2 linked regions of the Diceros bicornis minor genome follow. The protein of the gene in region 1 purifies or fractionates together with the protein of each later gene. This does not show direct contact. Links are inferred from orthologs where the notes say so. Each region holds a gene or a part of one and is shown in the gene's direction. Other genes may lie near its edges. The genes, in order: ARRDC3 and WWP1.

What was found.
Region 2: the proteins of ARRDC3 (region 1) and WWP1 purify together in Homo sapiens (affinity purification with mass spectrometry; 4 studies listed by BioGRID and IntAct, counting the BioPlex papers as one, with this or other methods). This does not show direct contact. The link is inferred for Diceros bicornis minor from reciprocal best matches to the Homo sapiens genes ARRDC3 and WWP1.

Annotation. Positions count from the first base shown.
Region 1 is NC_080740.1:17,721,896-17,725,804, reverse strand, and holds the start of ARRDC3 (arrestin domain-containing protein 3), read left to right. Parts: upstream 1-1,063; 5' UTR 1,064-1,294; coding exon 1,295-1,574; intron 1,575-3,909. UniProt on the Homo sapiens protein: Adapter protein that plays a role in regulating cell-surface expression of adrenergic receptors and probably also other G protein-coupled receptors.
Region 2 is NC_080772.1:36,154,293-36,158,201, forward strand, and holds the start of WWP1 (NEDD4-like E3 ubiquitin-protein ligase WWP1), read left to right. Parts: upstream 1-1,532; 5' UTR 1,533-1,654; intron 1,655-3,909. UniProt on the Homo sapiens protein: E3 ubiquitin-protein ligase which accepts ubiquitin from an E2 ubiquitin-conjugating enzyme in the form of a thioester and then directly transfers the ubiquitin to targeted substrates.

The DNA of each region.
Region 1 (3,909 bases):
TTATATATCAAAGCATGCTTTTTAAAAACTATCTTATGCGCTTCACTAATGTCTAACAAAGATTTTTCGATCTTCTTGTAAACATTATGTCAGCTAAAGCACTACGTCACGCTGCCTTTTATAAGGTGGGACTTTTTTAGGGCAAAGTCTATTCTTAATCCTCTGGACACAGGAGTTGTAATCATGTCATACCCTGCAAATGGAGCTGTAGGTGGTGTCTTAAAAACAGGCTTTTTCTTCCTTCGAGGAAGTGGTCAAGCCTTTTTTCCCCCCTGGTGTCATCATGCAAACAACTTGGGTTATTTTTCGCTGCTATCTAAGAGATGGAAGAGAAAACAAAACCTACTGATTAAATTATACTTGCTTCTCTTCCTTGCTCCGTACAGTATTCTCTTGAAAGTTCCTTTGCCGTAGACTGAGTTCATTTCCACCCTGCCTACAAAATACTAGTTTAAAAAAAAAAAAAAAGAACCAAGCCAAGAATGCTCTTGTCTCGGAACATCATTTCTTGTCTGCTTTTTATTATCTTCTTGGGAAATTCGTTAGATTATGCTGAGCAACCGGCCGCTTGCCCAACCGGTTTCTCCCCTACCCCCATCTCTCTTCACACATCACTTTTTCTTCCTCCCATCCAGGCAGTGGGCAAAACCCTGCAGTGCCGGTAACGCACGCTTCGGGCCGCTCACCCCGCAGTGCATCCCGACTTGGCTTTGCGAACAGCTCCCCACTCAGCCCTTCTCCCCCAGGGCCCCCTCTGCCATCATCTTTCCACACGAGTGTGCTCGGTAAGGGGCTCCAGGTAAGCACGTCGAGGGTTTACGGTAGCCTGCCTACCAATAGGAGCCCACAATGCAGAGAAGTCAGGTTCAGCCTCCCGGCAGCCCCAGAGCCGTCTTCCCCTAGCTGCACACCTACTGTACCCGCGAGCGAGCGAGCGAGGGAGCGAGCCCGGCGCGGGAGGGGGCGCGCAGGGAGGGCGGGCAGCAGCCGCGGCGCGTGCGCATGCGCACTGCGGTTGTTTTTCACAAAGCTGCTCTTAAAGTGAGCTGGCAGCCTCCAACCGCCCGTCTTTGTAAGGAGACCACTGAGACTAGCGGCAGCGCGGAGCAGCAGCCTCTCTGCTCCCCTGACTTTTTAAGAAATCTCAATGAACTATTTGTAAAGAATCACTGATCCTGCCTGCAAGCTTTTTGCACGGCAAAGACATCGATCAGTGTTAAGTGAAGATCACATTTTATATGTGATCTTGACTTTTTTTGTCTTACATTATATTTTTATAGATTTTGTTATAAACATGGTGCTGGGAAAGGTGAAGAGTTTGACAATAAGCTTTGACTGTCTCAATGACAGCAATGTCCCTGTGTATTCTAGTGGGGATACAGTCTCAGGAAGGGTGAATTTAGAAGTTACTGGGGAAATCAGAGTAAAATCGCTTAAAATTCATGCAAGAGGACATGCGAAAGTACGCTGGACCGAATCTCGAAACGCCGGCTCCAATACTGCCTATACACAGAATTACACTGAAGAAGTAGAATATTTCAACCATAAAGACATCTTAATTGGACACGAAAGAGGTAAGTTTTTATATTATTCAGAAATCATTAGACCTGTTTTCCTTGAGAGAGTGCCTTTTCAGTTTTTCTAAATTAATGTAATTCTACTTCCAGCATAACACAATTCTACTTCCAGCATAACACATAGATAGCAGTTTGATAAAGATTAGCAAAGTTGGAAGATTTGGATTCTCCTTGACATTCATCGTGTGTTAAGCTGTAATGCATGCAGGCATCTGCAAAGTGACTGCAAACTGCACTTAATTCAACTACCTCTATAGCCGGCTTGGTCTGTGCCATACGCACTTGCAATCCATTTGCACCTTACTTATGAATTCTGCTTAAATCCGATTCAGTAGTTTTACTAATATGGTTTCAAGTGAATTGCTAAAAGCTGTAGTCCAATATTAGATTTTTTCCTTATACTCTGCAACCTTAGATGTTAAAAACTAAGCTTCAGTGAAGAAATGGGATGACGTTAAGTGGGTTAATAGGTGTATTTCATTTTTAATATTGACACGCAAAAGTCTTTAAAGAATTGATCATTGTTCTTTGATATGAAGGGTTTCTGTGGCTTATTTTGACATATGGTATCAACACCCCACGTGTTTTTTCCCTATTCTTTCCAGTTTCTTTAGAAATTTACATCAAGCAGTCTCTATTTTAAAAGACAGTATCTATCATTAGGATATGTTTCAAATCAGTTTTAGAAGCCATTTAGGGTCAGTGATGTTCTTTTCCGAGCATCATGTCTAACTTTGGAACGTGCATTCAATGAAACCCTTGCCAGTCAAATGGAACTGAAAAAGTATTCGGCACCTTGGATTTGATTTTTTGCTTAAAAAAAGGAGATAAAGGGTTGTCAAAGGGAGAAGGGGTCCTGAGATTTTCAATCTATTGTTTAAATGGTTACATTGTGGAAATATAGAAGACTCTAAGCTTGTTTTTCTAAGTTTCCACCCTTTGTTAGAAGCGGTTCAATCCTGTTTCGGACCAGTTCTGGGGGGTGGTGAGGAGGGGCGCTTGTTCTGCTCTCAGCAGATTGGTTACACGCGTCAGGTGGTGGCGATGACTTAATTCCTAACCCAAGAAGAATATAATGTTAAAACTGGTTATGTAATTTTGTGCTTCTCCTTTTTAATGCAGTATTCAGTTTAAATGTTGACGATTTTTCAGAGTAGAGCACATTTTACCTTATTTTTTATATTAAAAAATAGACCTCCATGAGGAAGTGCTAATTGAACTAAGGCAAGTGTAGAAAATGAAGGATGCTTTGAGTTACAGCATCAATGCGTTACTTTTTAAAATATTTAGATGAAATCAATTCTTTAGTTTGGTTTTCAGTTACATATAGGTAATTTGCATCCTGAAAATAATTTCTGGTTAATCTCACCAAGCGGTAACACCGATAAGAACTGTAAATGCCCAATGACAGTCCTGGTGTTTGTTGAAAAGCAGACACATGAGTTTGTGTTTGACCATTTCTGGACATTGCAGCTTTTGATAAAATGGTTGAGGAGAAACAAAGGTTTCTAAGGAGTTGAGGCTTGCAGTGGGGTAAAAGTAGAATAACGACTAATAGGCACAAACACAATTTCATTAGTTTCTCCGTGATTTCATGGTAAAGAAAACTCCGTGCCCCACACCCTACGAGGTGCCCCGCAACCCCTGCAAAGCGTGGACGAGCTCTTAGACTGGAATAGTTTCAATGACTTAAAACTGGGACCTCTCAAACTAGCCTGGTTCCCGAGACCCCGCCCCGGGCACGGCGATAGGCGGAGCCGGGTTTGTTAGCCTGTTGCTAAGGCGATGCCAGGCTCTGATTGGATTGGGCGCGGGCGGGTGGGGAGAGTGGGCTTGCGCCGGCTGGGGCGAGGCTTGGAACCGGCGTGCGCCGGTAAAGGTCCCTCCAGAGCTGCCTCCGCCGCCCGACTCGCGTCACTCCCCGGGCTTCGGGATGCGCCGGGGGCTCATGTCACAGAACGTTCTGTCGCCCCTCTTGGGGCCCCCGAAAGAAACAAGTTCAGGTTCCAACAGCATAGAGGGCAGAAGCTCCAGCAGGCCTTACAGGTGCCCAATGGCCCTGGTTGCAACTTGAGCTTGCAGTCCTATTCAGAGGGAACTTGGGTGGGCAGGGTTAGCAGGACCCCGTTCCTGTTCGGGTGGAAGGCGTCAGGTAGCTTCTGTGAACGCTTGTTTTCCTCTTAGCTGAAACAAAGCGTGTTTGCCGACCTATGTAGTCACCAGACGGGCTACCTTGATTTGACCTGCGGGGGGAGAGTGCAAAGGCTGCCACGAGGGGAAGGAAAAGTGGTATTAACACGGAGAGCAGGGTGGGGGCCTCTGCGAGTATCCC
Region 2 (3,909 bases), on another chromosome or scaffold:
TTTTTAAAGGAACTGGACCAACAAAAAGGTGAGGAAAAGGTTAAAGCAGAAACCAGTGAGCACAATCAGGGGACTCGGAAGAGTTTGTCATAACAGGAGAGACAGAGCACGCAAGCATGAAAGAAGCCTTGAGGATCATGTTTATTTTTGTCTTAAAAGCTCTGATGAGCCAATGAAAGATTTTAAGCAGTGGAGTGTCGTGCTCAGATGTATGTTTTGGAATAATCATTGTGGATATAGGGTGCATCAAATCCAGGTATCAAGTCAGAGGGTAGGACCTGATGTAATGGAGAGAAAGAGAATGTGCATTCATTCAGTCCAAAGATATTTATTGAACCCTACAAATATTCATGGAGTGTCAATGCTGTCCGTGGTACACAATTCTTTCAAAAGCTTGGTTATGATGGAAGAAGACAGAGAACTAGAAGGAGGTTGTAAAGTCAAGGGAAAATTTAAGACAGAAAAGTCTTAAAATGTGATTATACTGAGGAGTTGTACCCAACAGAAAGGATGAGGTTAGAGATACGTCAAGGAGGGGGTCCCAGGAGGGAGAGGTTTGCTTGGAGAGGAGCAGGGACACTCAGCCTCTGAGACAGAGCACAACTAGTAGGCTTGCGTGTGGATGTAGGTAATTTGTGGGGTTTGGGTGAGAGAGTTGGGCAAAAATTGCAGAAATCCCTGCTTGATGGTCTTCATTCTCTCTCTGAAGTAGAAGAAGTAGAAGCACAGGTCATCTGGTGAGCAATGCGGTCACCAGTGACTTCTACTTGCAGGGTGGCCTTTCTTCTAAAAGCCACACACAGAACCAACAGCCCCTCTCTAGACTAGTTGATTGGTTTGTATAAATGGGGAGAACAGACCCTTCCATATGGCACTGCTGTACGGATTAATCGCCCTGACACGGGTACCTGCTCAGTATTAGTTTTATCACTGTACTCATGGGGGCGGGAGGAGTGAACGTTTTGAGTACCAATAAAAATGGACTGGCACTCTGCTTATGACCATCCCTAAACGCTATTATTTCCTCTCCCAATGGGTTCTAAGTCAAACACTCGGTTAGGTCAAGGGGGCTATATTAACAGTCTCCTTTTGCTGTAAAGCGTTCAAGAACTGAACGCCAGCGCCCCACGACCTCACTTGAGGTCACGCACAGGTCCGGCCTCGAACCCGAGACTCAGGTCTGCAGCAGCCTGCCCCGCCGCCGCCCCCGGCTCGGGGAAGACTCCTCCCAGTCTGGGCCGCGGCCCCGCCCCTTCCAGGCTCAGGCCCCGCCCCCCTCTCCCATTGGCTGGCCCCTCGGCCGCTCCGAAGACCCGGAGGAGCGGAGTTTCCCAGACGCGTCGTCGCGCCGCCTCACTGCGCATGCTCGCGGGAAGCCGGATTCCGGTCCGGAGCGGGAGGCTTGGGCGGCCGCGGCGCCGCGCGCGGGGCGGGGCGGGCGAGAGGCGCGCTCCCGCGGGGGTGGGGCGGGCGTCGGCGCGCTCCCGCGGGGCTGTGGGGTCGACGCGGGCGGCGGCGGCGCGCGGCGTGCGGGCTCCGAGCGGCGGAGGCGGCCTGGCGGCCGGGGCCGCGCTGCTGCGAGATGGCGCCCGTGGGCGCGGAGGGCTGAGGCGCCGCCGCCGGAGGAGGGCCACCGGCCGACGGCGTCGCGCCGGTGAGGACGCCGCGGCGGGCGGCGGGCGGCTGAGGCGGCTGAGGCGGGGCGGGACCCTCGGGGGGCGCGGGCCGCCCTGCGGCGCCGGGAGAGCGGGCGCGCGGGGCCGGGCCCGAGCGCTGGCCGGCGAGGGGCGTGCCGGGAGTCGCCCGGCCCTCCGCCCGCGGCTCCGCTCCGACGCCGGCGGGGCCCCCCGCACGGCTCCGTCGGACGGGCTTCCCGCGCGGTGCGCTCCGGCCCCCGGCCCCCGCCCCCCCCCCGGTGACCTGGGAGGTGCGGTGACCTTGCAGTTTTGACTAGTCCTCAGCTCGTCGGTGACTTGCACCTTCTCGTTTCATCTCTGTTTTTGAAATTCTCGTCCTGCGCTGTGCCCGCTGCCGCTGCAGCCTGCGCACGAGCAGCCTGGGCGCGGGCTGTCTCCCCACCGTGGTTCGGGTGGGCTCCGTGGGCCCCCGTGATGCTGCGACCCCTTCCGTGCCGGGGAGGGGGGTGTCTGTTACCTTGACGTTTGCAGTCTTCCTGGGAGAGATGTTTTCCAGGGCCTCGATGTCGCTTTCTTGTTTGTTTGATAAGTTTTTATCTTTCTGTGTAGGCTAACGTGCGAGAAAGATTTGAGCGTCTGCTTCCAAGTGCCATTGGTAATAGGAGTGGGCAGGAATTACACCCGAAGTTCTCCTTTCCCTCCCTGTGCTGTTCTTGCCCGAAATTCCTAGTGGACAGTGGTCTGCAGATTTCTACAGGAGCACATGTTTAAGTCGGCCTCACCTGCCTCGCTCAATCGCCGTGTGTGGGGCGAGCAGAACGCGCCTTTTAAGAAAGAAAGGCGTTCTTTTATTTATGTGACTTGCTGTTAGCCATCAAGTGGCACGTTATCTGTGACTGGAAATGGTCACTTTTCGTAAGAAGTTACTATTCTTTCAGTTGAAAACTTAGCGGCCAAGTGTTGGGAGCTGCTCAAATCAAGAAGTGTCGAGTGTGGGGAAGAGTTCTTCGGGCTGTAGCTTATTCACATGTTCACATGGTTCTTCCCTTAAAATGCAAAAAGGTCTCTAAGACCTACCACACCAGGGCTTTGAAAAGCAGTAACTAAGGGTTATGTTTTTTGTAAGCCTCGCATGATAGAGAATGTCGCTGAGAAGGTCTTTGCCTTCAAGGAAATAGTCGTCTTTGCTGTTTACCCCGCGAAGGCTGGAATTTCTTTTGCCTCCTTGCACAGTTCTTAGCCTCTGCTGCATGACTGTGTGAGGTGTTTGGGGGAATATAAAGATGAAGATGATACCAGTTTCTGCTTTCACAGACGAGGTAGGCACGTAGGACTGTACACAAAGGCCTCGTTTGTCTTTTAACATATAGTTAAGTTGCGTAGAGAATTCACATTCAGAGCGGGTAGAGCCCACATCTGATTTGGCAAGGTGGGGTTAGTTCATAGAGCTGGCTTCTGAAATCTTTGTTTTGAAGGATGACTGACTCGGGATAGGCTGGGAAAGGTAATCCAAGCAGAGAGAAGGGACTGAGAGCACCGAGGTCAAACACTTGGGGAGGAGCAGGGCATTATGTTTGGATGGGACACACGGTGTGTGTGCTGGTAGAAAGGGTAAAGCTTGAAGTAAAAATCTGGACCGGTTTATGATTGTTGTATATGCCTGGCTAATGACCTTGGATGGGGGGGGGTGTCTTACAGATGATTTTTGAGTTGAGAATGAAATGATTAAAGCCTAGCTTTCAGAGGATTAATCTGGCATCAGCGTGTGGAGTGAATTGAAGTAGAGAGACCCTGGGGTAGGAAGGCCTTGATTGCTGTGGTTGTAGGTAGTGAGGGTCTGAACTGCAGCACTAATAATAGGAGTGGGAAGGAGGAAGGAAGTAGAAGAGACAGAATTTGATGAGAGAGGAAATGAAGAAAGTAAAAGATAGCTAAGATTCCCATCCAGGTTGATTGGGAGAATAGTGGTACCATTTTGAACGACATCCATGGAAGCTTTATCTTGGGCATATGTGTGTTACTTTATAGCAGTGGTTCTCAGCCTTTTGGGGATTACTAATCCTTGAAACTAAAATCTGCTGGCCTGGGAAATTTCCATGTGCACCTGTGCTTTGTGGATATAATTTTAGGGGAGTCCATGGACCACCTGAAGCTCATCCATGTAACCCATGGGCCAGTGGATTAGTCTGGGAGCTGCTCACAGAATTACTGGGGGCTTTTTAAGGCAGTAGAGCCTTCAGATTCTTCCACTTAGTTGATAAGAACCCCTACT